Linked DNA regions of Callithrix jacchus. The protein of the gene in region 1 purifies or fractionates together with the protein of each later gene. This does not show direct contact. Links are inferred from orthologs where the notes say so. Each region holds a gene or a part of one and is shown in the gene's direction. Other genes may lie near its edges. The genes, in order: CSNK1A1L, FAM83D and FAM83H.

Region 1 (9,454 bases):
TGCAAGAAAAAGCAAAAGAGGTTCTACAACTCCTCACTGCTTTGGAAGGAAGTCTAGAAAGCTACCAGAATTGCAGTAACCTCACAGGAACCAAAAAAAACAAAAAGTAATGATTTTTCAGGCTGAAATTGCACCCTACATTCTCAATGTAGCAAAATTGGTATTTAAAAGTGTTTTCTTTTTTTTTCAAATAAACATATTGCATGAGTGAACAGAATGAGTGAACAGAAAGATGCAGAGCAATGGAGAAAATATTCTTTCATGAAGAAAATCCAGCACATTACAATGACGAGGACGCCCTCTGCTGTGATTTTTGACACTACACCAAACAGCATCATTTCCAATAGTTTCTCATTGTCTTTGCAGTGCCAATACTTCCAGAAAGCTTTGAGGAAAAAATGACTTCAATCCTTCTATAAAGTTAGTCATCTCCAGGATCTTTTAAAAATTAAAGTGACTGATTTTGGGTAATATTATTCTTAACATAGTGTTTGAGCCACATAAACCTCAGTAAATCTCTTGGTGACAGCATTATTTATTTAAGAACATATTTTCATTTATCTTGTATTCTATTTAATAGTTCCAAAAGGAGATGGCATTCATGCCAATGGTTTCCATAACAACAATTGCCCACTCAAGTCTATAGCCAAAAAGAAAATTGTTTTTACTTAGAAATTTTGTGCCTCAAAAGACCATTCTACTAAAGTGTCTCCGTTTCCTAGGAAGATATCAAGAAGCCCAGAAAATTAACCCCAAAACTCATACGAGACTAAAACCAATGCCATTTGAATATCATTCCTTAATTGCCAAAAGCTGATGTGGGTTTATAGGCAAGTGAATAAAACCTATTTTGCAGGATACCTTCTAAGTGTTAGGAGCAGACAGGAGTATTTCAGGTGGGAAGGAGAAGTCAGATTGCAATGTGGAAACATTTCTATGTAAGCATTTCTGGTCAATTGCATCGAGATAGCTTAGGGGGTAGAAAAGAGACTTGAACTTCTAACACCAAGTAAATTGTGATTTACTTTCCTAAGTTAAATCTTTTATGCCTGTTTCATTTTTTTGTACTTTCTCTTAAAGAGGGCCACAAAAAAAAAATGAATGAAGTTCAGGACTGACAAAATCTGAATTGGTTGTTAGACAGTACAATACTACCCAGTACAATCCTGCCCAGAATATGTTATTTTACTTTTACTGGGGTCATCTTATAATAATAGAAATTATTTTAGTGGCAATTTTGAAACCAAGGCTAAATCATAGCTTTAAAATGCATTGACAAAATATATAATTAAGGGAAAGAAAGAGAACTACTACCTGCCCAACAGTGAAGCCACCCAGCATTCAGTAGCCTCTGGCTGTTGATATCTATGCAGGGGTTAAAAGTACTGGCTTTGGAGTCAGGCAATCCTGGATTTCCATTCTGAATCCATCATTCCACATCTGTGCCACCTTTGGTGAGTCACTCAAACCCTGCAAATAGGAGGCATTCAATAACTATTTGTTGAACAAATGAATAAATAATGCATCAACCCCACACACTGTCCAGAAAATTTTATCAAATATAGTAGTTCAATTTCCTTACATTTTAAAAACTATTTGCTGCATATCTCTTAGGGAAAAATTTTGAACAAAAGGGTGGGAGGGGATGCAAGAGTTTAAGCAAAGTGTTGTTTGGGTTTAAAGACTACTTATATTTGGTTGAAGAGATTGGAAAAGGTTTCATGGAGCAAACAACATTTAAGGAAGAGCCATGAAAGGTTATTAGAATTAGATCTGGGTGATAGGGAAGATAAAGCAGGCCGGAAGCATTTCAGGCTAAGGAAACAACACCATAAGCCAAGACCCAAAGATGAAAAAATGCAGGGAGTATGTGTTCAGGAAAGAGTCAGCAGCCCCACTGGCTTGTGGTAAGAGAATTCATTGGAGACTGGACTGGAAGCTATTCAGGGTCATGCCACCACTTCGGTTACTGATCCTCCCCATTCTGGAGATGCTCACAACTTCCCTGTCATGAAGGTTCACCCAGCCACCATTATAAGTTACACTTGACTTTCTTTACAGGCAGTGCCTTTATTTAACGAGCACAAAGAAGTATAGGACTTAGCAAACGATTTACAAACTATCATTAAACTATTCTAGTTCCAGTGTTGAAAGGGGATTTTTTTTTTTAATTTCAAGTTTTTGTCGAAGTATGGGTTATCTGTAACGTTTTTAATTACTGACTTCTCTCACATAGAGATCATTTGAATTTCAAGGTTCATGTTGAAGCCATTGACTGGAAGGCTGAAAGGGAAGGAAGCATAATGGGCACTGCGTTAACAACATAAATTTTGTTCTAGGTCATTAGAAGGGAAATTGTTCTCCAGGCAAATTTCAACAAAGTTGGATAAGTAAATGAAAGAAATGCCATTCTAGTTGATACAATATAAAAAGTAACTGCCTTGGGTCAAACTTCAGTTTCAAATTGGCCTCTGACATTTGTCTGTAGTGTGGTCTTGGGCAATTCATCTAACCTCTCTATGCCTTGATTTCCACTTGTATAAAACGAGAAGTACAATCATAATAATAAAACTTGTCAGCAGTATATTGCATTACTCTCCACCTGTGAGAGGAGTATGTATTTTCACTCCACTGTCTTTGGACCCGTCCATGTTTTTGTCCAGCGGAATGTGACATTTGTCACTCCTTTTATTATGAGAACAGCATTCTCCTAAGGCGGTTCCTCTTTCAGCCTACATTCTAGAACAAAGAGGACACGGGAAGCAGAGATGCAGCTGATCTATGGCTTACATAAATCCTAAATTATAAATAAACTTTGTCATTGTAAGCCACTGAGATTTGTGGGTTGTTCTTGCTGCAAAGCCAAGTAATATACTGTGCTACCCACCTCACATATTTGTCCTAAGTGGAGTTTTTTAATGTTTTAAAGCAGTTCATAATGTTCTATGCCCATCTATGTCTCAAACCAGCTCCTTCTCTCACCATTTGAACTCAAAGCATTCTATGAAATTCTGTTGCAGGTCAGAAAAGTTAGGAACAGCACTATATGAGACAGTAAGTGGGAATATCTACTTTCAAACCTCCACCACCCTCTCCTGCCCTTCTGCCATTGGCCCCCAAATTCATTGCTACTGCTCCATTAGGATTAACAGATTTTTTTAGATTAAAAATTTTTTTAGATTAAAAAATATAGACTTTTTCTGCTAGTGCTGGTCCCACTTCTTCTGAGAAAATGCTCAGAACTGCCCGCAGCTATTTCTTCTTCATATTTTGGTTACATTTGACTTGAATGCTTCATTTAGTCAGTTTTGCCAGAACTCCTCTGTGAAATCCTATTTGAACTCAAAGCATTCTATGAAAAAACTTCAAAAGGATGGCTTAAAAAAAAAAGGCATTTCAATTTAACGAGCAGTAAGTGACTCACCTAAACTCAATAAAGAAGCAACCACTGAGATCGCAGAGAAAAAGCTCCAGGTGGCACCACGACTCGCATTAAACCAGAGAGAGACGATGGCTAGGGAAGTAGGCGGGACAATGATTGGGCCTGAAAACCAGGAATCTCTGCTATAAAAGCCTCCCACTACTGCACCGTGAAGTTTAAAGCCGCTGAGCTCCGGCCAGGCGCGATGGCTCAAGCCTGTAATCCCAGCACTTTGGGAGGTCGAGGCGGGTGGATCACGGGGTCAACAGATCGAGACCATCCTGGTCAACATGGTGAAACCCCGTCTCTACTAAAAATACAAAAAATTAGCTGGGCATGGTGGCGCGTGCCTGTAATCCCAGCTACTCAGGAGGCTGAGGCAGGAGAATTGCCTGAACCCAGGAGGCGGAGGCTGCGGTGAGCCGAGATCGTGCCATTGCACTCCAGCCTGGGTAACAAGAGCGAAACTCCGTCTCAAAAAAAAAAAAAAAAAAAAAAAAAAAGCTGAGCTCCGAGTCACATAAGCCTACGCAGTTTTGAATTCCAGCTCGCCCATGTTCTCCTGCAACCTTAGGCCCCTTACCTGAGACTTAGCCTTTCTTACCCAATAACTCAGGGAAACAGCAGCTACCTTACAAGACGAGCAAGTCCGTGTGAAACGGAGTAAGATGAGTGGAACACCTAACGGAAGACTCAGACAACAGCAGCTGCTCTAAAAATTCTCCATTTGTGGTTGGTTCAGCGGAGGAACAAGATGGCGGCGCCGGCGGCGTGACGGGGCCCTGGGGCCTGCAGCCATTGACTGCGGTGGCGGCGGTTTGGCAGCCCCAGCTCGCCGCGCCGCGTTTCTCCGCCTGCGACCCCTCCGCGACAGCGAGGCGGCCACAGCCGTCCACAAAGAGGTGGAGGCCAAACCTGGCGATCGCGAGGAGCCCTCACAAACTGCCACCTGGTGGAGATCCGGCGGCGCTGCGGGGATCAGGCTGACACCAGCCGACTCCAGGCCGTCTCCTGACGCCCTCACCGTCAGCCTTGTGCGCCTGAGAGCCCGGAGGCCAGCCTCCATCTCTGCCCCTCAGGATGATGAAAAACAGCGGCTCCAAGGCCGAGCTCATTGTGGGAGGGAAATACAAACTGGTGCGGAAGATCGGGTCTGGCTCCTTCGGAGACGTTTATCTGGGAATCGCCACCAGCAACGGGGAGGAAGTGGCAGTGAAGCTGGAATCTCAGAAGGCCAAGCACCCGCAGCTGCTGTATGAGAGCAGACTCTACACGATTCTTCAGGGTGGGACTGGCATCCCCCACATGCACTGGTATGGCCAGGAAAAAGACAGCAATGTGCTAGTCATGGACCTTCTGGGGCCCAGCCTCGAAGACCTCTTTAATTTCTGTTCCAGAAGGTTCACCATGAAAACTGTACTTATGTTAGCCGACCAGATGATCAGTAGAATTGAATACGTGCATACGATGAGTTTTCTACACCGAGACATTAAACCAGATAACTTCCTGATGGGTACTGGGCGTCACTGTAATAAGCTGTTCCTTATTGATTTTGGTTTGGCCAAAAGGTACAGAGACAACAGGACTAGGCAACACATCCCGTACAGAGAAGATAAACACCTCATTGGCACTGTCCGATATGCCAGCATCAATGCACATCTTGGTATTGAGCAGAGCCGCCGAGATGACATGGAATCCTTAGGCTACGTTTTCATGTATTTTAATAGAACCAACCTGCCGTGGCAAGGACTAAAGGCTATGACAAAGAAACAAAAATACGACAAGATTAGTGAGAAGAAGATGTCCACGCCTGTTGAAGTTTTATGTAAGGGATTTCCTGCGGAATTTGCCATGTACTTGAATTACTGTCGTGGGCTGCGCTTTGAGGAAGTCCCAGATTACACGTATCTGAGGCAGCTCTTCCGCATTCTTTTCAGGACCCTGAACCACCAATATGACTACACGTTTGACTGGATGATGTTAAAACAGAAAGCAGCACAGCAGGCAGCCTCTTCCAGTGGGCAGGGTCAGCAGGCTCAAGCCCAGACAGGCAGTAAAACGAATAAAAAGGATAATGTGAAAGATAACTAAGCATGGATGAGGAACGGAAGAAGCAGAGCAGATGATTCAAGCAGCGTTTGATTCTTCCCACTCTAGAAGTTGTAGTTCATACGTACACTAGCTAGTGGCTGTGGACAATCATTTCCTTGGTGTAAAAAACTTTATTTCTATATAAACCGACTCCAGGGAGCGCTGGTGATGCTGTATCCCAAGGTGTAGCTGCTGGAATTGTGAATGTTATCTGAGGTAGTGAAACATGGTGTCTGGTTTTCTGTTGCACGTATTCAAGTAGAAAAGTTAAATGGTGGGCACACATGAATTGGGGACGACGTTGTGCATATGCCAATTTTTTGTTAAAACCTTTTAGTCTGAGCTAGACTACTTTGAGATCTCATTGAAGAACAGTCTTCAGCCACAGCTGCGAAAGTTGTAAATGCTTACAGTTGAGCATTCTTAGGCTTTCTCCCTCCCTGGGGTTTGCAGATTGTTCACTTGAAAAGCATTCTTAAAACGGCTGGCTTCTTGTCTGCAAACCAACTGATCTGGTAACAACCAAAAATTCCAGTTTTGAGTATAGGAAAGATTCTGCCTGCTTACCTGTGAAGACGTAAGAAAAACTTAGTCACTACCAGATTATCTTTAGAATTCCACATTAACTCTATCATGTTCTCGGTATTTAAAAAATAAAAAACAACGAGAGCAACCATATTTGTCACAGAAATGTAGTTAACAGCCTACAACTGAACGTGTATGTATGTTGCTTAGATAAATGTAATCACTGTAAACTCCGATATGATCTAGGATTTTGTTCACATTTTGAAATGGGAGTTTTTATGTTTACACGTTCATCAAAAACTAGAAACTTTCTGTAAGGAAATGATACTTTTTTAAACAACAATCAAAAAAATGCCTTGCTGACTCACTAGGAAATAAAAATCTCCCCAATTTTTCGATAGTCAACTTCAAGGCATTTGTTACATGATATTCCTGTGCAAGTACATTTTGTTTCACGATATAACTTTTTCCAATGTTTTTATTTCAAAATAACTTTTCTGTATGAAGGGGAAAGGCATTCTTTCATTTTTTCTTTTTCTAATTACTTGTGGTACAATCTCTAGTACTCAACCAGCAGAACTTGGTATTGTTACTTCTTCCACTGACTAATAGCTGGGCTAATTTCAAACAAGAATGCAAGCATTGAAGAGTTTGACTACAAAGCATTGTTGAAAATACTTGTGTAATGGCTATAAGCGGTTGACTTTTACCCTTGGAGAGCACACTGTGTGAGTCTCTGTGAGCACTGACCCTCCCTAACCCCCATCTACTTCTCTAAATTATCTGTGTGTACGTGCTCTTCCTCTCAACCTTTTTGCACATTCTTTTCTTTTTCTCTGACGCAAAACATAGGAAAACTCATTTTCCTTTTAATTTTTTAAATGGTGTAATTTATTCACTTATAGCATGTCAGGATAAATTAAAAGAACATTTATCTGAAAATGCTGCCAGGAGCCTGTTGTGTAAATGTGGGCATTTTGTAAAATAACCTTGAAATTGTAAATTGCCACATGTTTGGTCAGATTGTGTCAGGTTTCATTTATTTTTTAATTTTTTTCATTTGAAAACTATTTCAGCAATAATTAATTCTATGATTACCACATTCTGCCATTAACGGATATATTAGTACTATAATACTGAAGAAATCTTAATAAGCACAAATTTTGGGGGTGGGAAGCTTCCTGGTTTCTTTCTATCCACCCTTGTTAAGGTATTCATTTCTTAGCTATTAAGCCGTTGGTTCTTTTGCCAGAAATCAGTCTCATAAAGCTATTTTTGAGTATAGTTTATATAAAAAAAAATTTAGCTTTGTTAGTAACTTTTCCAAGCTGACCTCCCTCTAGCAAGATATTTTTCAGTGCTTTTATTCAGTACGCACTTATCCTGAAATATTTCTGTATTCTTGCCATTTGAAAAGGTTGTGGCATAGTTTGTCTGCAATGAAGCTGCAGATTTAAAACTACTGTTAGTTTTGTAAAACAAAATATAGGTGTTTTTGTCCTGGTATATTATCATTCCATTTTTCTTCTAGATACCATTCATTGTCTTCACAGTTCACAAAAGAAGAATGTGAAATTCAGTGAATGCTGTTAGTGGTCATGCCAAGAGATGAATCTCATTTCACCAAAATTAAATCATGTTTTTCACTATAAGGTGATGTAAGGTGAAGACACATCACTGTGATATTGGAAGACCTCACCACTTAAGGCTCCACAGTGGCTTACTCAGCAGAATTCTAGGTTACTGCTCTACTTTGTTCACCCATTGGAGAATGCACTTTTTTAAATGTTGGAAGATGGCCATTCCAACTACTGTTGAATCTTTCGGTTTGGGGGAAGGTAAAACAAGAAAATAAAATGAAGTATACATGGCTGGGCACAGTGGCTCATGCCTGTAATCCCAACACTTTGGGAGGCTGAAGCAGATGGATCACCTGAGGTCAGGAGTTGCAGATGAGCCTGGGCAACATGGTGAAATCTTGTCTCTACTTAAAAATACAAAAACTAGGCGGGGCGGTGGCTCAAGCCTGTAAATCCAGCACTTTGGGAGGCCAAGGCGGGCGGATCACGAAGTCAAGAGATCGAGACCATCCTGGCCAACATGGTGAAACCCCATCTCTACTAAAAATACAAAAAAAAAATTAGCTGGGTGTGGTGGCACGTGCCTGTAGTCCCAGCTACCTGGGAGGATGAGGCAGGAGAATTGCTTGAACCCGGCAGGCGGAGGTTGCAGTGAGCCGAGATTGTGCCACTGCACTCCAGCCTGGCACCTGGCAACAAAGCAAGACTCTGTCTCAAAAAATATATATATATATACAAAAAGTAGCTGGGTGTGGTGGTGGACGCCTTGTAGTCCCAGCTACTCTGGAGGCTGAGGCAGGAGAATCGCTTGAACCTGGAAGGCAGAGGTTGCAGTGAGCCGAGGTCGCATCACTACACTCCAGCCTGGATGACAGAGCAAGACTCCGTCTCAAAAAAAAAGAGTAAACATGAAGGGAGACACTGGTTATCTCCTACCATATGAATGTGCTTATTCTTTTATGTCTACAAATAGATATTTGGAGATTTACCTTTACTATGATTTTTTTATCAACAAATATTTTTAAGATACTTTCCTACTTCTACAAATACTCACAAAGACTTATTAATGTTTCAAGCAGAGCGCACTGCAATAATTATAAGCTTAATTCCATTATAGTAAAAATATCAAAAGGAGGTTTTTTTTGTCAAAAATTAATTTTCCTTCTTTGATTCTTTGTCATTAACCTTCTTCCATTGGGAACCTACTAGAGAGTAACAAAAGGAGCTATATTCTGCCACATGAAGACAAAAGACAATAATATATTTCATATTTTAAAGCCAAAAGTTTAAAAGAAACAGCAGGCACACATGTATATTTATGTACTTTTTTCCTTAACATATTTATAGCTTCTCATAGGTCATGCACACTGAAAGAGTAGCGCACATCTGAAATGTGCAGAATTCACACATTTTCCAAATAAAGTACATCATCGGTTCTGTATTTTTTTGTCCTCCAACTTTGAAATTCCTAGGAACTACAAAAACAGGGAGAGAGAAAGAGGCCCCCCCACCACTCAAGAGGTCATATTGAATGATTCCAAGGAATAGTAGAAACTTGTACTGAATCCAAGTTTTTAACTGCCAAGTTTTAACTCCTGGCTACAGTTCTCAACATATGACATAATTTAGAAACTTGGTTTAGGCACAGGAGAATCATAGGACTTAAAACACTATGTCCCTCAGCATGTAAAATATTTATGGAAAATCCAGGCAAGTAATAAATTGTAAAGAAACTAAAAGGAAAAAAATCTTGCGAAATGGCAGCTATGACTTTTTAAATCAAAAAGGGGAAAAGAAGAAAGGATGGCTCTTAATGTATAAGTTGAGTGGAAACTTC
Region 2 (10,614 bases), about 120 Mb from region 1:
ATTTGCTGCCAAATGCATCTCAGGTTTTTAAAGTCATTGTTTCTTGCTCATGGCGGCTCATTTATTACAGAGCCCCCTCACCCCACTAATGAATAGTGGTAGGAAAAGGAGCTGGAGCTGCTTCCTTCAGCATCAAAGCCTTTCCTCAGGAATCTGCCTCCCTTTATGGCAGGGGTGCATCTGGGAGCTGAAAGAAATCCGGCAAAGTCAACCACATGCCTAGCTCCTGCTGACACCCAGGTCCTGTGGCAGCTCCTCATTAGATTAAAGGAGGCCACTTCCAAAGCAGGCACTGCATGGCTCACCATCATATGCCCCAAACAATTGAAAGTTGACAACTACCACCAGGCTGTGAGTTTCTGGCCAGTAGCTTAGGGAAGCTGAATAAACTCTAGGCCCAGGGCTACTGAAGACTTCAGGATAGAATTCTCCATCAAATATGCAGCATAAGTAAAACTGCTCTGTACTGTTTGATCCATTTCCAAGGGGCTTAGAACAGTTAACAAGGGTGTTTCCCCTGTCCTGCCCCACCAGTTTACTGGCTTTGTAATAACATGAGACCATTTTGGTTGCTGGTGTCAGATACCTTTTCATCCTGAGCTCTCTCGCCTACCTGCTCTCTCTCCTAGAGCAGGATACTGGGGTACTTTCAAGAAGGGTGCTCCTTTTAAGATGCCCAGAAAGACTGTATTGAACCCTCGCTATTTGTAACTTGGGGATGGTCTCCCCTCCCCCAGGGCACATAAGAGCAAAAGGTCCAGTGGTCAGTGGATGACTCTGTAAAAGTGACCCCTTGTGCCAGAAGCTATAGCCCTCTCCCTGATAGGAGTCTCTTTTTGGCCAGAGGGCCTGCTTCCCATGGGCATTGCAAGTGCCACCGTGCGGGGCCTGGCTCTGCACACCCAGGAAAAGTCTGCAGACCCCCAGCCCTCCGCAATAATTCACCAGACCAGAAGCCACTGATGTACAGAGAACACTTAAAAAAATGTATTTTATGTGAAAAAAAGTTAAAACTCTGTATACTGTATCAGCAGCTTTGTGTAAAAATGGCAATCAAGAGAGTCTAATATATTTAAAATTTTTTTAAAAAAAAATCCTCGCGGATCTTTGATATCGTACTGAAGTAACTTCCAGGTAGCCCCTTGCCACACGGCAATGCTGGGCCTCGGGTCTGAAACCGTGGCTCAGCCACATCCCAGAGGGGGCACATGTCCCTGGAGTTGCTTCCAGCTACCAAGGCCTGTGACAGAAATCGCTGTTAAGAGTTTTTAATTAAAATTATTAAATTCCTTTTAATAACACCTGCTAGTGTGACTGATTATTGCTATGAGCTCACTTGAACAGTGCTGACTTAAATTCACAAAGAGGAGGTTCCTGGATTAGAGGGTGGGTAAGGGCGTCTGATCTCTTCCCCCTGACTCCCCCATCCCTGCGGAGGGCTCTCGCATGAGACCCCTGAAGGGAGTTCTGGGGGCTCAGACCTGGAGCAGATGTCTCTCCAGACTGGGAGATGGTAAAAGCTGATGACTTCAAGAAAAGGTAGGTGGTTGGGAATGACCTTCATTCTGTCAAATATTCTCTTTGAAATTAACATGAAGCCCTGTAATAGCATATATTTATTCCATACATGTTCCAAGGTTTTCTTGATTTATTTTTATTTTTATTTTTATTTTTTTGAGATGGAGTCTCACTCTGTCATCCAGGGTGCAGTGGTGCGATCTCTGCTCACTGCAACCTCTGCCTCCCAGGTTCCAGCGATTCTCCTGTCTCAGCCTCCTGAATAGCTGAGATGACAGGTGCTTGCCATGACGCCTAGATAACTTTTTGTATTTTTAGTAGAGACAGAGTTTCACCATGTTTGCCAGGCTGGTCTCAAACTCCTGACCTCAAGCGATCCGCCTGCCTTGGCCTCCCAAAGTGCAGGGTTACAGGCGTGAGCCACTGTGCTGGCCCCTGATGACATTTATATGTAACAAGAGTGCCCCTCTCCTTTGTCCTGTTGTTGGAGTGCACTGATGTGTCCGGTACTTTCCCCCCTGCCCCATTCCAGTTCTTCCTTTCAAGTGCTTATGCTCCTGGCCATTCTCATTTTTTACTGTGAGGCATAGAGAAGCTGTGGTTGCACAGCCTCAGACCACGGTTCTTGGTCCTTGTCCCCTACAGAACTTTGTTGGTGTTTTGAAAGAGGGTGAAAAGTGTGCTCTCTTGTTGCCTCCTGGACCCTGGATACTGGAGCAGGGACACACGGAAGTCCCCACACTTAGTCCTGAGAAACTTCACAAATGGATGGAAATGGGGAGAGGAGGGAAAGAGGGAGAGGCATTGCTAAATAATAATGGTAACTTCTCACATTTATGATGCTCTTTTCGTTTACACAAAGAAGATAAAGGCTGAAAATTGACTGTTGGATTTAGCTGTGTGGAACTCATGATGAACCTGACAAGGGGTTTTGGTAAAGCAGTGGGGGTTTTAGCCTGATTGAAGAGGGCTGGAAGAGAACTGGAGACAGCAACTATAGACAACTGGTTTGAGGGTTTCTTTTTCTTTTTTTTTTTTTTTTTGAGTCAGGGTCTTGCTCTGTCACCCAGGCTGGAGTGCAGTGGTGCGATCATAGTTCACTGCAGCCTGAAACTCCTGGCCTTAAGTCATCTCCTGCCTCAGCCTTCCCAGTGGCTGGGACTGCCATGCACTAAAAGTTAGACACACCACCATGCCCGGCTAACTTTTGTATTTTTTTGTAAAGACAAGGTCTCGCTATGTTGCCCAGGCTAGTCTCAAACTCCGAGACTCAAGTGATCCTCTTCCCTCGGCCTCCCACAGTGCTGGGATTACTACAGGTGCAAGTCACCATGCCCAGCCATGTCTGAGGTTTTATGCTGCAAAAGTAAGAAGAGAAATGGGGAGGTTTAGAGGAATGTAGGATCAAGAGAGGGCTGTTTTAAGATGAAGATGTTTCAATATGTGTGTAGGCTTATAGAAATGAATCAGTAAAGAGGGACGCTGATGTTCCAGGAGAAAGAAGGAGGTTGCTGGAGTGATGCTGGTGAGTAGAGGGGCTGGAAGTGCCCAGGCAGAGGAGTTGGGGTTGGATGGTGCAGGAGCAGTTCATCAATGCCCTGTGTATGGGCAGAGATGCAGACAGGAAGGTAGACTGGATGGGCGCATGTGAAAGTTCCCTTCTCACTGCTTCTGTGTTCTCAGCGACTAGGAAGCAAGCTGTCAGAGAGGAAAAGGTAGAGAGAACGCGGGAAATACAGCCTAGCAGGCAGCAAGTTTCGCTCTTGTCACCCAGGCTGGAGTGCAGTGCTGTGATCTCAACTCACTGTCACCTCCATCTCCCAGGTTCATGTGATTCTCCTGCCTCAGCCTCCCGAGTATGGGATTACAGGCATGCACCAAGACACCCGGCTGATTTTTGTATTTTTTTGCAGAGTCGGGGTTTTACCATGTTAGTCAAGCTGGTCTCGAACCTCAGGTGTTAGTCAAGCTGGTCTTGAACTCCTGACCTCAGGTGATCCGCCCTTCTCAGTCTCCCAAAGTGCTGAGATTACAGGCGTGAGCCACAGCATGGGCCCTGTCTCCTAGCAGGCAGTTTTAAGGATCATGAATTGAAAGCGCGATCCGTCAGTAAGCATGGTTATGTTCTTTCTTTCTCCAGCCCTGTAGGGCTGCAGCGGTGCAGGTGGAAAGTAGCGTGTAACCAAGGTAGGTGGGGGTTTTACAAGTCAAAAACCAGTGAAATGAGAGAAGGCTACCCTAGGGTGTAATCAAAGGAGAGTTCCTAATACAATGAACCGGTGTTTTTTGAATGAATGAATGAATGAATGAATACACAGTTAAATGCAGGGGATAAAGGCGATATGGTTGGCCATGCCAAAGCTCCGAGAGCCTAGGAGCAGCGTGGCCAGCGTGTCTGGGAGCCGGCACCAGCCTCTTGTCGCTGCCTTGTGAGGCCGCTCTGTGGGACGGCCGGCAGGGGGCGTGTTGGGACGGCGAGGAGCCCGGCTGTCCCGCCTCTGTACCTGCTCTGCTGCCCGCCCCGCCCTTTCAAGTTTAAATTCCACTTAACAGCCCAGCATTGAGAGCAAAGGCTCCACTGTGCCGGCAGCCAATGATGCATCAGGGGGCGGAGCCGCCTCGCCGCTATTGGAAGGAAATCAGCCAATGGGAGAGTTGAGGCGGGGAGGTGCGGCCAATGGCGCGGGCCTGTTTGATTCAAAGGTTGCCTATAAAGCAGGCCCTCACGCCGGCTTTTGTCCGAGGGCTGTCGCGTCGGAGCGCCGCTATGGCTCTGCTGTCTGAGGGCCTGGACGAGCTGCCCACCGCCTGCCTGTCGCCGTGCGGGCCGCCCAATCCAGCCGAGCTCTTCAGCGAGGAACGGCGCCTGGCGCTGGAGGAGCTGGTGGCCGGCGGCCCGGAAGCTTTGGCGGCCTTCCTGCGACGCGAGCGCCTGGCTCGCTTCTTGAACCCGGATGAGGTGCACGCCATCCTGCGCGCGGCGGAGCGGCCGGGAGAGGAAGGTGCGGCGGCGGCGGCCGAGGACTCGTTCGGCTCCTCGCACGACTGCTCGTCCGGCACCTACTTCCCCGAGCAGTCTGACCTGGAGCCTCCGCTGCTGGAGCTCGGCTGGCCGGCCTTCTACCGGGGCGCCTACCGCGGCGCCACGCGCGTCGAGGCGCACTTCCAGCCGCGCGGCGCGGGCGAGGGCGGCCCCTACGGCTGCAAGGACGCGCTGCGCCAGCAGCTCCGCTCTGCGCGCGAGGTGAGCGGCCCGCCCGGGCCCTGGGTCGCACGGGAGACCCCCTTCGAGAACGGGAAATTGAGGCCTGCTGGGAGCGCGGGGCGGGGCCGCTACCTCCTCTGCGCCCTGCCGGAAGCAGGGACCCCGACTCACCTCACTCTGCTTGTCTCCCCCGGATATTCCAGGCCACTCCTCGTGGCAGGGGATAGTGGGAAAGCCTCGGTTCCCAAGGATGCGAATTGTGCCCGGGTTCCATCTCCTAACGTTCACATCCCTGAAGGGGGGTACCAGAAGTACTCCCAGTTCCAAATTTCAGTTAAAATCAAACTTGGAAAATTGCCGATTTTCCTGTCAGCCAACGCTAGATCCCACTTTCAGGAGCTGCTTAGGAGACTCATTACCAAAGAACTTACGTATGGAAAGTTCCGGAAAGATGGTCTCCAGAAGCAACTGTGGGGCATTAGGAATCAGTAGGAATCAATTGTTACTGCTAATTATTTTTACAGATCTTATGTTGTAAAAAGCAGATCAACACAGGATTGGCAGGCTGAGAGCCCTGCTGCTCTTTCTACTGCCAATGACTGGAGGAGAAGTTTGCCACTGTGAATCAATATGGCAAGAAGTTTGTTTTCCATAGGCTGGGTCTTGGTGAGATTTCAGTGGCCTCCTCAAATGCAGATACATTTGCGTTAGATCGGCCTCTGTATTCTCAGTGGGTTTTGGTCCTATTGTCTGACACTTAGTGTGGCATGGTCTTGGGTGCAGTGGAGGTCTTGTCTGCTTGCCAGCCTCGATGAAGCTGCAGCGGGGTGCTGGGGATCAAGGAGGAAGAAGGCAGCCTGCAGGTGGGTGTGGCAGGTAGAGTGTGGTGGCAGACACCTTGGTCTGGAGCTATAGTCAGTTTGCTTGCTGACTGGCAGTGCCCAGCTTCCTGGCTGGCTGCCTGTGCCAGGGACATGGCAGATAAAGCCCCAACCATGGTAAGACTTGTTAGGGCTGGTACCTGAGTGTGTCTGACTGTGGGTGAAGATATCAGTGCATTCTTAGGTTGACATGTCGAAGTCCAAGCCCCAGCTCTCACCAGTGTTCCTAGTGTTCTCTCCCTGACTGGTGGGGTTGCAGTGGTTATGGATACAGTGACCTAGTGCCTTGCCTTTGAGGGAGTGGCTGCAGGTTGCAGCTAGGCTCTTACCAGCCCTGTGGTGTTTTGGGTGGGCCGAGGGTCTTTTTGATGCCACAGACATTTCCCTTGCGGGTTGAGTGAGCAGATTTAAAAAGATGGAAAAGGCAGAATTGTGTAGGTGTGCACTCCCAAAGCTCACTTCCAGTAGAACTTGAGCACTTGAAACCTGAGAGAAGTAAAGAACTGGTCTGTATAGTGAGACCTGTGGCTTGTTCTGGTCTTTTGCCCAGCCCAAAATTTTAGTGATAGCAAAGGGGCACCAGAACCAGAGGCCAGAGGGAAACTATTAACCTCACGTGCTGGCCTGAGGAGGGGGTGGAGCCTGGAGCTCAGACTCTCTCTCATCCCACTGGCATTTTGTAACGCTGACATTTCCAGATAGAACCTGCTGCCCTAGTCCAACTACCCACAATTCCCTCTGAGATGCTGTATTTGGAACCTTTAAATCCAATGAGTATTGGCTGGGTGCGGTGGCTCACACCTGTAATCCCAGCACCTTGGGAGGCGGGGATGGGCAGATTAAGAGTTTGAGACTAGGCTGGCCAACATGGTGAAACCCCATCTCTACTAAAAATACAAAAATTAGCTGGGTGTGGTGGCGTGCGCCTGTAATCCCAGCTACTCAGGAGGCTGAGGCAGGAGAATTCCTTGAACCCGGTGGTGGAGGTTGCATTGAGCCGAGATCACTCCACTCCAGCTCTGGGCGACAGAGCAAGACTCCGTCTTGGAAAAAAAAATCCAATTAGTATTTTCAGTGTATCTGATAGATGCCAAATTATTTGCTTACTCAGTGCCTGCTGTGTATCAGACACTACCAGGGCTGGGGCCACAGAGGAAGGCATCAAATTTGCCTACACTTGAGGATGGACAGTGTGCTGATAGGAAGCAGTGAGGAGGTTGCTATAGGCACTAGGAAAAGGGCTAAAGAGTCTCCAGAGTGGCATTGAACTCAAAGCTGTGTGGGGTGAGGGATGCTGAAATGAGGTGGGTTTGAGACAGTGCTGAATTTGAGGCCCCAGAGACTGTCTCTTTGGTTTAAAAACAACGACAAAAAAGCCAGGCATGGTATTGTGCACCTGTAGTCCCAGCAACTCAGGAGGCCGAGTCAGGAGGATCACTTGAGCCCAGGAATTCAAGGCTATAGTGCACTTTGACCACGCTGTGAATGGCTGTTGCAGCTCCAGCCTGGGCAACATGGGGAGACCTTGTTTCTTTTTTTTTGTTTATAATTTTTTTTTTTTGAGATGGAGTATTGCTCTGTTTCCCAGGCTGGAGTGCAGTGGCACCATCTCAGTTCACTGCAAACTCTGCCTCCCAGGTTCAAGTGATTTTCCTGCCTCCGCCTCCTGAGTCACTGGGATTACAGGCACACTCCACCATGCCTGGCTGATTTTTTTTTTTTGTACTTTTAGTAGAGACGGGGTTTCACCATGTTGGTCAGGCTGGTCTCAAACTCTTGACCTTGTTATCAGCCCTCCTCAGCCTCCCGAAGTGTTGGGATTACTGGCATGAGCCACTGTGTCTTGCCCTGACCCTGTTTCTTAAAAAAGAAAAAAAAAAAGAATACTTTCTACTTGCCAGGCACGGTTCTAAGTAATCCCAAGGAAGGAGCAATTATCATCTTCATTTTTCACCTGATAGAACTGAGGCATAGAGAAGTTAAATAGCCCCAAAGTCAGGCAGCTAGACAATGAAGGAACCTGTACTCAAATTGAGGCACAGAATATCTGAACCATGTTAACCACCACACTCCCTGTGGAGGGGTCAGGAGCCTGTGCTCAGGTGGGGAGAGGTGACAGCGCAGATCTGGTGCTATCACTGTGTTAGGGCCAGCCTTGTGGACAAGGGAATGTATGACACCTTGACCTCATCCTTTGAAGTCCAGTACCTGTGACAGTGAGGGCCAGGAAGGTACAGGTCTCAGGCTGCTTCAAGATGAAGTGAGAAGCTGTTCTGCATCTGTGTTCTGATGGCAAAGGTACTTAATGATGATATGATTGAGCACTTTGAATGGGTCAGTGCCTGTGCTAAACCCTTGACCTATGAATTACCTCATTTAACCCTCCCAACCCTGGGAGGAGGCCACAATTCAGAAAAGAGCAGGCACAGAGAAGTTAAGTAAGTTGCCTGAGATCACACAGTTAGCATGGGACAGAGTTGGGCTCAAGCCCACGTCTGTCTGGTTCTGGCTCTGAAGCTCACACTTTTTTTTTTTTTAAGATGGAGTCTCACTCTGTCACCCAGGCTGGAGTGCAGTGGCATGATCTCAGGTCACTACAACCTCCACTGCCTGGGTTCAAGTGATTCTCCTGACTCAGCCTCCCGAGTAGCTGGGATTCCATGAGCACGGTACCAAGACCAGCTAATTTTTATGTTGTTTTTGTTTTTGAGATGGAGTCTTCCTCTTGTCACCCAGGCTGGAGTGCAAATGGCATGATCTCAGCTCACTGCAACCAAGATGGAGGCTGTAGTAAGCTATGATCATGCCACTGCACTCCAGTTTGGGTGACAGAGCAAGACCTCATTTCTAAAAAATAAAACACAATTATATATAGTATGGCTTGAATACCAGCTGGCTGCTTACCAGGTGCTCAGCCGAACTTCACCAAAACTGGAGGAAACTGCTTTGAACCTTTTCAGAATGCATGTTTGCTTCCTAAGGAAGTTTTTGGATAATCTTGAACTATACAGGATTTTTTCCCTACATACTTGCTCAAGATCCACCCCTCTTCCACTGTATCTGTTGATGACTCATTCAGCTTTTTGCCTCTGTTGCTGTGTGAATTGGGATTTGACTGGGCTGTGGCCCCCTTCCTGGAAGGGCTGCGTAGCCTCATTTTGGGAACGTGCTTATGAATTGGCTGTCTGGCTATTCCTGGTTTGTTGAATGGGAGTTCAGTGGCAAAGCTGCGACCACCAGGGGGTTCTGATTCCTCAGAGTCACCTTTCTTGCCAGTGCCTATTCCTTATGCAGTTTTGTTCCAAAAAGGCCACTTTTGCTATGACCTCACCCTTAGGCATCCTCTTGATAACCCAAATGTTAGTAGTGGGGATCATTGCATTCCCAGAGAGCCCTGCCAGGAGAAGTAGCAGCTAAGGAATCTGTTGGAGGCCCCGGCATGTACTTGGATGTGTCTGAATTAAGAGTCCTTCCTGCTGTTGCACAGCTTTCCTCTGCATAACAGTAGAACCTGTGTGGTATGATGATCAGTTTCTGTTCCAAATGCTCATGTCAGCCTCAAGCAGGGCTTCTCAACCTCAGCACTATTGACCTTTAGTGTTGGATAATTCTTTGTCCTGAGGGGCTGTCCTGTGCATTGTAGGATGTTGCGTAGCATCCATGGCCCCGATTCACTCGATGCCAGCAGCATCCTTCACGCCAGGTAGTAGTCATGATATTCAGTGTCTCCAGAAGGAGAAACAGGGAGTTACTGATGAGTGGTCACAGTTTCCATTTGTGGCTATGAAAAAGTTTTAGAAACATAGTAGTGTTGGTTGTGAATGTAATTATTGCCACTGAATTGCACACTTAACAATTATTAAGATGGCGAACATTTTACCATGATAAAAAATGTCTCCAGACATTGCCAGATGCCCTCTGGGGGCAAATCCTCCCCAGTTGTGAACCACTGGCCTAGAAGTTCTCACTAGTGCATCATTCTGGGATGTTACCCATCAGACTGAAATGTTGCTACTAATTTATCCCTTCCTTTTGATTTCATGGGTCACGTTAAGGATTTTAGAATTTTTAAAAATATTGTGGTAAAAAATACATAGCAAAATTTACCATTTTAACCATTTTTAAGTGTACAGTCAGTGGCATTAAATACATTCACACTGTTGTGCAGCCATCACTAGTAGACATCTCCAGAACTATTTCATTTTCCTAAAATGAAGCTCTGACACACTAACTCCTTGTACCCTTTTTTCCCAGCCTCTGGCAATAACTATTCTATTTTCTGTCTGCCATTTCTGTTTTTCCTTTTTTTTTTTGGTGAGACAGAGTCTCACTTTGTTGCCAGGCTGGAGTTCAGTGGAGCAGTCTTGACTTCACTGCAACCTCTGCCTCCTGGGTTCAAGCGATTCCCCTGCCCCAGCCTCCCGAGTAGCTGGGACTACGGGTGTACACCACCACACCTGGCTAATTTTTTGTGTTTTAGTAGATATGGGGTTTCGCCATGTCGGCCAGGATGGTCTCCATCTCCTGACCTGGTGATCTGCCCGCCTCGGCCTCTCAAAGTGCTGGGATTACATGCGTGAGCCACTGGGCCCGCCCTCTGTCTGCCATTTTTTTTCCTTTTCCCTTAGCATCCAGCAGACAGTAAGGCAGCTGCAGGATTCTTCTCTGACTTCTTTATGGATAGAGGATACATTATTTCAGGAAAAAAGAAAGCAAAAACTAAAAATGTAGTGCATATATTGGCTTTAAAAACTTAATGCAAATGATATAACCCCTGGAAGGGAATTTGGCAATACCTAGCAAAATTTCAATTATATTTACCCATTGATATAGCACTTCCATTGCTATTTATCTATCCCAAAGATATATCTACAAAAGTATGAATAGATGTAGACAATAGGCTTTGCATTGCAGCACTAATTATAATAGCAAAACACAGGAAAGAGTTCAGGTATTCGTCAATAGAGGATGAGCTCATTGTGAATAAATCCATTCATCTCTGCAGTGGAA
Region 3 (9,803 bases), on another chromosome or scaffold:
CACGTGATGGCACCAGTGGGGTATCAGTGTTTGGGGAAGGAACAAATGAAATGGGAGTGACCCTGAAAGCAAAATAGGATCACATGGTAAGAGAGACAAAGAGGAAGGTGACTGATGACCGCAGAAAGGTTCAGGAGGGCCAGTTCTTGGGGTGGGAGTGGCAGGGGCCAGGTGTGGTGGTTTGGACAATGACCCAGTGCAGGGTGGGGCCTAAGTGTCGGGAGGGGCCCTAAGCGAGGGCCTGAGGGGAACCTGGGGGGACTGGAGCACCAGGGGCAGCTTGGGGTGATGTGTGGGGGTTGCTGTGTACATGGCGGGGGAGGGGCACCTGGCATGTGGGGCTTGATGTGCACGCTGGGTCCCTTGTCTGTGTGGGACTTGGTTTTTGTAGGGTCCCCGTGTGTACACCCAGGGTTCCATATGTGTGAGAGAGGTCCCCTGTGCTCTCAGAGTCAGTGTGAATATGGCATCCCCTGTTTGCCTGATCCCCTGGGTCAGTGTCTGAGGGATCCCAATTGCAGGTGGGGTTCTCCACGTGCGCAGACGTCAGCGTGTTCCTGGGTGACTGGTGTGCAAGACTGAGTGTGCTTGTGGGTTCTGCCTTCCTGAGGATTCTTCTGTGCTTGTGCGGTTGGTGTACATGAGGAACGGGTCATTCCAGGCCCGCGTGTGCATGGGGGGTCGGTGTACATGAAGGATGAGGGACAGGTCATTTGGGGTTCGTCTGTGCAGGGGGTCAGTGTGTGCAGTGTCCCCTACACGGGTGGGCGTCGGTGTACGGGGATGAGGAAGAACAATAGGGCACCCCAGGTGCTGTGGGCATCAGTGTGTGTGGGGGAGCCGGGGCCTGGGGGTCCTCTGTGTGGGTGGGGTCGTCCCCTCTACGTCTGGGCGCCAGTGCGGAAGGAGACCGGTGTGTGGTGAAGGGATCCCCTGCGCTCTCGGGGCTCCCAGACCCGGCCCCACCCGGCGCTCGGCGCCGCCGCAGCGTACTCACCTGCCTTACCTGCCTCCCCAACTTGGCCAGGAGGCCAGAGCTCCGCCCCTGGCGTCGGGCTGGCTCGTTTCCTAGCTACCGAGCCGGAACTTCCGCGTCACCCCGACTTCCGGGGCGAGGGTCAGGGGTCAGCCTAGGACTTTGAGCCTGGGGTCAACAGCTGGGCTCCCCGGGGCCGGGGTCTTTGAAGTGAGGGCCTCACGGCCTCCGGCGGCGCTGGGCCGGGGTCCCCGCAGGGTGCGGGCGGGTCGGGGCGGACGGTCGGGGCGCGGGCCGGGGCGCAGGAATGCGGGCGCGCCGCGGGTGGGGCCGCCCCGCCCCCAGGTGCTGCCCGGGCAGGCAGGAGGCAGGAGCGCCGGGCGGGGCGGGGGCGGGCGCGTGAATCAGGCCGGGCCGGCGGGCGGGCCGCGCAGGGAGTGGCTGCCGGACCGACCGGACCGCGAGGCCGCTGGGCGGCGGTCGGCTCCTGCTGCCCCTGTGCCGAGACCCCGCGCACCTGGCCAGGTAGGGCCCCCTCCCCCGGCCCGGAGGGGCGGGGCGAGGTGGGGGCGGGCGCCCCTCGGTGCGGTCCCACCTGGGCCGCCCTCGCGCCAGCACCTGGGCCGGGGCCGCGCGATCCAGAGAGGGGCGTTGGAGCTGGGGCGCGGCCGCGTGCGCGGGGCGGCGGGGGGCGGCTCGGACAGGGGGCGCCGCTGCGCGGATTTGGACGCGAGCGCCCTCGCACGACGCCGGCCCGCGAAGAGCCGATAGGAAGGGGCCCGGGGCCGGGTCCAGCCTGCCCGGCCGCCTGGTCCCGCCCTCGCGGCCTAGTTGGAGTCTGGGTGCTGGGCACGGGCTGGACCCGTCCCTGGGGACGGCCGCCGTGGAGTGGGGTAGCCAGAGTGCGGCCTGGATCCCCGCGTGGAGAGCAGGACGAGCGACGGGAGTGCTGCCTCTCGTGCCCACGTTCCTGGGGTGGGGTGGGCGGATGGGGCCCCCAGCCGCCGCAGTTGCGAACGCGTAGGGTGCGCTGACCACGTTGGGCGCTGGGGTGCCCACCCCGCAAACTATCACTGAGCGACTTCCGGTCTGTGAGCTCCGTCCTCCCCACCCCACCTTTCCGCCTCCTAGAGCCTCCACGCCCTCCTGTGCCCGTTGGAACGGCACAGGCTCACCCCACTTGGTGTAGGAACTCTGGATCCTTCCATGGGGTCCTCCTTCCAGATACCCCACTTACGGCCAGGGTGGAGAGGATGGGGTCCTTAAAGTCCAGCTGAGAGCCCTGACCTCAAGTCACAGATCGGGGTCAGCAGAAGAGTGGATTCGTGCTGAGTCATTGGCCATGGGTGGGTTCCGTGCCCTCCCTCCCTTGGGCAGGCGTTGCTACACAAATGTGTAGGCATGCAGGCCACTGGAGTGCTCCATCTCAGGCTCGGGAGTGGCTGCGGCCCCGTCCATAGCTGGGGAGACACGGACCCATGAAAGGGGACAACACGGGGAATGAAGTCGTTGGAGGAAGCCATTGGCATCACTCTGTGTGGACGCTGGTGTCTGCTGGAGGGCTTTTGGCCACAGGGGCTTCCACAGTCCTGACAGTCCCTGCCCACATTACACACAGCCTGGACACTGTTGACTCCCCTACCCTGTGAAATCCAAAGGGACAGTGGGGGTCCTTTCTAGAGTGCTGCCCCCCCAGCAGCAGGAAGTGCCCCTCAAGATCAGCAGGGCTGTTCCCTCAAGCCCTGTGTGATCAGACACTGCCTCTACAGCCAGGCTGGCAGTGGTGAGTGGGCGCCCCCACCCAGCCAGACAGGCCTGCCCCTCACCCCCATGTGGTCGGCCTTGATCTGCTCCTGGCACAATCAAGACAGTGTGCCCTAACCAGCCCCACATGTCAACCATGAGGACAGTGCCTCAACAAAGAAATGTTGGGACAGCTTCTCCCAGGCCGGTTGGCATCTGGGGCTGGATAACTGAGTGGCACCAGGTATTTCCCACGTGTCAACTCCATGTCACCCCCAGGTGCGCCAGGCAGGACGGCTGCCGCCTGACCTTAACATTCTCAGCCAAGTGGCTCCTGCTAGCACCCATGCAGTCCAGCTGGCCAGCGCCCATCCTGTCAACGCCCCAGGGCACGCTCCTCTGTCTGGGCTGAACTGCCTCCCCAGCCAGGGCCAACATTCAGGAACCTGTGTGCTAGGTGGGGATAGGTGTGCTGCCTCCCTCAGCAACCTGAGGAGCACTGGGATGGGCTGAGTGCTCCCTAGGGCTCTCCTTCCAGGGAGAGGTACCCAGGTAGCTCCATGACCATGTGCACATGGGCCCTGGGCACCCTATAGAGGTCCCCATCAGACACCTTTCTGGAGAGGCCAGGCCCCCTGCAGGGACCCTTTGGAGAACAGGGTGGGCTGTGGGGCAGGCAAGCGTGGATGGTGGTGGGGAGCCCAAGACCTGGAAAGGTCCCTGCTGCTTTGGACTGGGGTTGGTGGGGACAGGACTCTGAGCAAGTAAAGAGCGAGATCTGGGGGCTGTGGAGTGCAGGCCCTGAAGGACCTGTGGGCACCAATGGGCTGTGGCCCAGGGAGGTTTCATCTAAGAGGGACAGTGACAAGAGAGAGGTCAAGGGTGGGCCAAGGGAAGGAGAGGGGCTGGTAGACAGGGACAGGGTCTAGGGGTCAGTTCCAGGGCTGGGTGGTCAGAGGATGGGCTGTGGGAACCCAACTGTGAAACTGAGGATGGGGAGGAGGTGTGGCTGAGGTCCACTAACGAGGACCTCCGCGTTCCTGGAGGAGGGTGGTCACAGCCCTGTTTGCTCATCTTAGGTGAAGCATGGCGTCATGTGGACCCTCAGCTGTGTTGTGCAGAAGATGTACAGGCCAGAGAGGTGCAGTGACTTACTCGGGGTCTCCCAGGCAGTCAGAGAGACACAGGCAGCATGGGCAGACCAACTTGTTCAGTAGGCACAGTGCCAGGGGCTCATGAACATCTTAAGAAAAAAAGCGAATATTGTAATGATGAACGTAGCCCAGATTACGTTTGTCTTTAAACCAAGAATCATGAAAGTTTTAGAGGGTTTGGTTTTATTTTTTGTAGCGATGCAGTCTCACTGTGGCCCAGGCAGAGTGCATTGGCACAATCATAGCTCACGGCAGCCTGCAACGCCTGGACTCAAACGACCCTTCTGCCTCAGCTTCCAAGTGGCCGAGACTACAGGCACGTGCCACCATGCCTGCCTAATGTTTAAAATTTTTTGTAGAGATGGGGTCTTGCTGTATTGCCCAGGCTGGTCTCAGACTCCTGGCTTCAAGCACTTCTCCTGCCCCAGCCTCCCAGAGGAAGGAGAGACAGGACTGAGATACCTGTGCCCCAGCCTGGGATACCTGCTGGTGCCTCCTCAGTTAGGGGTGTCCTAGGGCTGGGCCATCCTCTGTGAGCCTGGCTCGGCTGGTGCCCTGGAAGGCGGCCTGGGCATGGGCTGAACTCCGGCCTAGCCAACTCCCTAATGGCCCCTTCCACAGTGTGACCATGCTTGACGGCAGGAGTGGTCCCAGTGCCCCCACCCCTAGTCATGTGTCTCCCTGCCCCTCCAGGCCCTTGGCCCCGACATGGCCCGTCGCTCCCAGAGCTCCTCGCAGGGGGACAACCCGCTGGCACCCGGGTACCTGCCACCTCACTACAAAGAGTACTACCGCCTGGCGGTGGATGCACTGGCCGAAGGTGGCTCGGAGGCCTATAGCCGCTTCCTGGCGTCCGAGGGGGCACCTGACTTCCTGTGCCCTGAAGAGCTGGAACATGTGAGCCGACACCTTCGGCTCCCACAGTATGTTGCCCGAGAGCCCCCCGAAGGCAGCCTTCTTGACGTGGACATGGATGGCTCCTCGGGTACATACTGGCCAGTGAAGTCAGACCAGGCCGTGCCTGAGCTTGACCTGGGCTGGCCCCTGACCTTTGGCTTCCAGGGCACCGAGGTGACCACCTTGGTGCAGCCGCCACCCCCCGACAGCCCCAGCATCAAGGATGAGGCCCGCAGGATGATCCGTTCCGCCCAGCAGGTGCGCTATCGCAGCTGTAGGGTGGTGGGGAAGAGCCTGTGCTGGAGGCACGAGGGTGGAGGAGACACATGAGCATGAGCAGCTTGTGGGGTGAGCCCTGAGCTCCAGCTGTAGTGGGCAGTCCCAGCAGAGATCTTCAGGGCTGGCAGGCCTTGGTCACCATGGGCTGCAGGTTCTGCACAGTTCTCCTTGCCTGTGGTCATGGCCAGTGCCCAGAAACTCCAGGGCTCTGGGATGGGTGGGCACCCCCACCAGCCTGGGTTCATTGTTCAGATAATTCCCTCTCAGGCCAGCTGAGGGCTTCAGACCCTCACAAAGTAGCTGGCAGACTCCAGAGGGTGCTGTTAAACCATGGCAACTGAGGCCTCAAGTGCAAACGCTAAAGACCCCTGCTTTTGTCTCCTGCCCAGGACAGTGACCCCCTCCTGGACAGTGACCCCCCCTCAGCCCTGACAGCTGCCCTGGGGGAGGGCAGCTCAGCCATCTGTAGAGTGGAGGGAAGATGGAGGGCTCCTTGCAGTGCCCACCCTCATTCAGGGTTCTCTGCCCTGCACCTGCCTCACCCCGCCCCCGTTATGGCCAGCAGCTCCATGCTTCTTCTGTTGGGTCCCTTCCTCCTACCCATCTTCCCAGATGTGGCCCCACTCCCTGGGATGGGCTAGCATGTCTGGGTTTGTGGGTAACCCAGACATCTCCCAGGTGTGGAGGGGAAGCTAGACAATGGTGTGAGGACAGCAGGGGCCTCTGGTCTCCATCCTGACCCACCCCTGCAGGTGGTGGCCGTGGTGATGGACATGTTCACTGATGTGGACCTGCTGAGCGAAGTGCTGGAGGCCGCAGCCCGTCGGGTCCCAGTCTACATCCTGCTGGATGAGATGAACGCACAGCACTTCCTGGACATGGCAGACAAGTGCCGTGTCAACCTGCACCACGTGGATGTGAGTTCCTGGGAGTGGGGGATTGGGGAGGCCCCCTGGCAGAGATCTAACTCCCCTCCCTTCCCAGTTCCTGCGCGTGCGGACTGTGGCGGGCCCCACGTACTACTGCCGCACGGGAAAGTCCTTCAAGGGCCACGTCAAGGAGAAGTTCCTGCTGGTGGACTGCGCTGTGGTGATGAGTGGGAGCTACAGGTGCGCCCATGGGGTTCCCTCGGCTCCTTCTCTGGGGCCTCCTCCTGTTGCCCCAGTGCCACCCTTCCACGCTAGGGCCCTTCTCACCAGGAGCCCTTGCCCTGTAGCCACCTGCACCCCTAGGCCGGGCCCAGGCCCTTACAGACCTCACGTCCCTGAGTCCTCCCCGCCCCAGCCGTTGCCCACAAGGCTGCACTGCCCTTGCTCCAGCTCGGTTTGACTCTGGCCCTGACCCCCCACAGCTTCATGTGGTCCTTCGAGAAGATCCACCGCAGCCTGGCACACGTGTTCCAAGGAGAGCTGGTCTCCAGCTTCGACGAGGAGTTCCGCATCCTCTTTGCGCAGTCCGAGCCGCTGGTGCCCTCGGCCACGGCCTTGGCCCGCATGGACGCCTACGCCCTGGCTCCGTATGCCGGGGCTGGGCCCCTCGTGGGCGTCCCTGGGGTCGGGGTGCCAACGCCCTTCTCCTTCCCTAAACGAGCGCACCTCCTGTTCCCACCACCCCGCGAAGAGGGCCTGGGCTTCCCCTCCTTCCTCGACCCGGACCGCCACTTCCTGTCGGCCTTGCGCCGGGAGGAGCCGCTGCGGATGCCGGGGGGCGCCCTGGAGCTGCACGCGGGGATGCGGCCACTGTCGCGGCGCCTGGAGGCTGAGGCCGGGCCGGCTGGGGACCTCGCGGGCACGCGGGGCTTCTTCCAGGCGCGGCACCTGGAGATGGATGCCTTCAAGCGGCACAGCTTCGCGGCCGAGGGCGCGGGCGCCGTGGAGAACTTCGCGGCCGCGCGGCAGGTGTCGCGACAGACGTTCCTCAGTCACGGAGACGACTTCCGCTTCCAGACCAGCCACTTCCACCGCGACCAGCTCTACCAGCAGCAGTACCAGTGGGACCCGCAGCTCGCACCCGCTCGACCGCAGGGCCTGTTCGAGAAGCTTCGTGGAGGCCGCGCGGGTTTCGCGGACCCAGATGACTTCACTCTGGGCGCCGGGCCGCGCTTCCCGGAGCTCGGGCCCGACGGCCACCAGCGGCTGGACTACGTGCCGTCCAGCGCGTCCCGCGAGGTGCGCCACGGCTCGGACCCCGCCTTCGGACCCGGTCCCCGCGGCCCGGAACCCAGCGGGCCCCCGCGCCCCAACCTGGCCCAGCGTTTCCCCTGCCAGGCGGCGGCCAGGCCCGGCACAGACCCCGCTCCGGAGGCGGAGCCTGAGCGCAGGGGCGGGCCGGAGGGGCGGGCCGGGCTGCGGCGCTGGCGCCTGGCCTCCTACTTGAGCGGCTGCCATGGCGAGGATGGGGGCGACGACGGCCTGCCGGCGCCCATGGAAGCCGAGGCTTATGAAGACGATGTGCTGGCTCCGGGGGGCCGGGCAGCTGCCGGCGACCTGCTCCCCTCGGCCTTCCGCGTCCCCGCAGCCTTCCCCACCAAGGTCCCCATGCCAGGCTTGGGCGGCGGCGGCGGCAACAACAGCCTGGAGCGCGAGGGTCCGGAGGAGCCCGGCCTGGCCAAGCAGGACTCCTTCCGCTCGCGCCTGAACCCCCTCATCCAGCGCAGCTCCAGGCTGCGCTCCTCGCTCATCTTCAGCGCGTCACAGGCCGAGGGCGCGACCGGGACTGCGGCGGCCACTGAGAAGGTGCAGCTCCTGCACAAAGAGCAGACGGTGAGCGAGACGCTGGGGCCTGGCGGAGAGGCCGTGCGCTCCGCGGCTTCCACCAAGGTGGCCGAACTGTTGGAGAAGTATAAGGGCCCAGCCCGTGATCCCGGCGGCGGCGCGGGCGCCATCACCATTGCCAGCCACAGCAAGGCCGTCGTGTCCCAGGCATGGCGGGAAGAGGTGGCGGCCCCAGGTGGCGTGGGGGGCGAGCGCCGCAGCCTCGAGAGCTGCCTGCTGGACCTGCGCGACTCCTTTGCGCAGCAGCTGAACCAGGAGGCGGAGCGGCAGCCAGGAGCCGCCTCGCTCACCGCGGCGCAGCTGCTTGATACACTGGGCCGGAGCGGCTCCGACCACCTACCCTCCCGCTTCCTCTCTGCCCAGGGCCGCTCCACCTCCCCGCAAGGACTGGACAGTCCTCTGCCACTGGAAGGGCCCGGGGAGCGCCAGGTGCCCCATTCTGAGCCAAAAGCAAGCCCCACCTCGGCTTACCCTGAGCGGAAGGGGAGCCCCACACCTGGGTTTCCCACTCGAAGAGGAAGCCCAACGACAGGATTTATCGAGCAGAAGGGGAGCCCCACCTCAGCCTATCCCGAGCGCAGGAGCAGTCCTGTGCCCCCAGTGCCAGAGCGCAGGGGCAGCCTCACCCTTACCTTCTCCGGAGAGTCCCCGAAGGCCGGGCCCACCGAGGAGGGGCCGAGCGGCCCCATGGAAGTCCTGCGCAAAGGCTCCCTGCGCCTCAGGCAGCTGCTGAGCCCCAAGGGCGAGCGGCGCATGGAGGATGAGGGAGGCTTCGCAGTGCCACAGGAGAACGGGCAGCCCGAGAGCCCGCGGCGGCAGTCACTGGGCGGGGGTGACAGCACGGAGGCTGCCACAGGAGAGGAGCGGGGCTCCCGGGCACGCCTGGCCTCTGCCACGGCCAACGCCCTGTACAGCAGCAACCTTCGGGATGACACGAAAGCCATTCTGGAGCAGATCAGCGCCCACGGCCAGAAGCACCGGGTGGTCCCTTCCCCGGGCCCCGGCCCAGCCCACAGCAGCCCCGAGCTAGGCCGTCCACCGGCTGCTGGTGGCCTGGCCCCAGATATGTCCGACAAGGACAAGTGTTCAGCCATCTTCCGCTCCGACAGCCTGGGGACCCAAGGCCGGCTGAGCCGCACGCTGCCGGCCAGCGCGGAGGAGCGCGATCGGCTGCTGCGCCGCATGGAGAGCATGCGCAAGGAGAAGCGCGTGTACAGCCGCTTCGAGGTCTTCTGCAAGAAAGAGGAGGCCAGCGGCTCCGGGGCTGGGGAGGGCCCGGTGGAGGAGGGCACCAGGGACAGCAAGGTGGGCAAGTTTGTGCCCAAGATTCTGGGCACGTTCAAAGGCAAGAAATGAGTTTCCTGGCCCAGCAGCCCAGGCCAGGGTGTCCAAATTGCTGCCATGACCACCCGGAGCCTCCACAGAGCAAGGAGAGCACTGCTCCTGTGCTTGAGTGGTGACTGCCAGGCCACGGCTGCTTGGGGCTTGGCTGAGTGCGCCACAGCTCGGCTCCTGTTGGGGCTCACCCGGCAGCTGCCGTCTGTGCTCCTGGCCTTTCCAGTACTAGGGCTCCAGCCCCTCGCCACCAGTGCCTTTCTTCCCTCAGCATCTTCTCTCCTCAGCATCTTCATCTCTGCACCATCAGCCTTGCATGGCGCGGCGTCTGGCTCCGCCATCTCTTTGTGCTTCAGTACCCCCACACCTTTTTTTTTTTTTTTTTTTTTTTTGAGACCCAGGCTGGAATGCAATGGCGCCATATCTGCTCACTGCAACCTCTGCCTCTCAGGTTCAAGTAATTCTTGTGCCTTAGCCTCCCAAGTAGCTGGGATTACATGTGCCTGGTATCGTGCCCAGCTAATTTTTGTATTTTTAGTAGAGACAGGGTTTCACCATGTTGGCCAGGCTGGTCTCCAACTCCCGACCTCAAGTGATCTGCCCGCCTCAGTCTCCCTACATGGGGGGATTACTGACGTGCGCCTC

Evidence for each region.
Region 2: the proteins of CSNK1A1L (region 1) and FAM83D purify together in Homo sapiens (affinity purification with mass spectrometry; 3 studies listed by BioGRID and IntAct, with this or other methods). This does not show direct contact. The link is inferred for Callithrix jacchus from reciprocal best matches to the Homo sapiens genes CSNK1A1L and FAM83D.
Region 3: the proteins of CSNK1A1L (region 1) and FAM83H purify together in Homo sapiens (affinity purification with mass spectrometry; 3 studies listed by BioGRID and IntAct, with this or other methods). This does not show direct contact. The link is inferred for Callithrix jacchus from reciprocal best matches to the Homo sapiens genes CSNK1A1L and FAM83H.

The regions. Positions count from the first base shown.
Region 1 is NC_133506.1:156,314,700-156,324,153, reverse strand, and holds CSNK1A1L (casein kinase I), read left to right. Parts: upstream 1-4,487; 5' UTR 4,488-4,501; coding exon 4,502-5,512; downstream 5,513-9,454. UniProt on the Homo sapiens protein: Casein kinases are operationally defined by their preferential utilization of acidic proteins such as caseins as substrates. It can phosphorylate a large number of proteins. Participates in Wnt signaling.
Region 2 is NC_133506.1:34,344,880-34,355,493, forward strand, and holds the start of FAM83D (protein FAM83D), read left to right. Parts: upstream 1-4,259; 5' UTR 4,260-4,285; coding exon 4,286-4,762; intron 4,763-10,614.
Region 3 is NC_133517.1:53,881,873-53,891,675, forward strand, and holds the start of FAM83H (protein FAM83H), read left to right. Parts: upstream 1-1,408; 5' UTR 1,409-1,501; intron 1,502-3,798; 5' UTR 3,799-3,860; intron 3,861-4,054; exon of another isoform or gene 4,055-4,189; intron 4,190-4,566; 5' UTR 4,567-4,581; coding exon 4,582-5,028; intron 5,029-5,801; coding exon 5,802-5,966; intron 5,967-6,033; coding exon 6,034-6,158; intron 6,159-6,400; coding exon 6,401-9,179; 3' UTR 9,180-9,803. UniProt on the Homo sapiens protein: May play a major role in the structural organization and calcification of developing enamel. May play a role in keratin cytoskeleton disassembly by recruiting CSNK1A1 to keratin filaments. Thereby, it may regulate epithelial cell migration.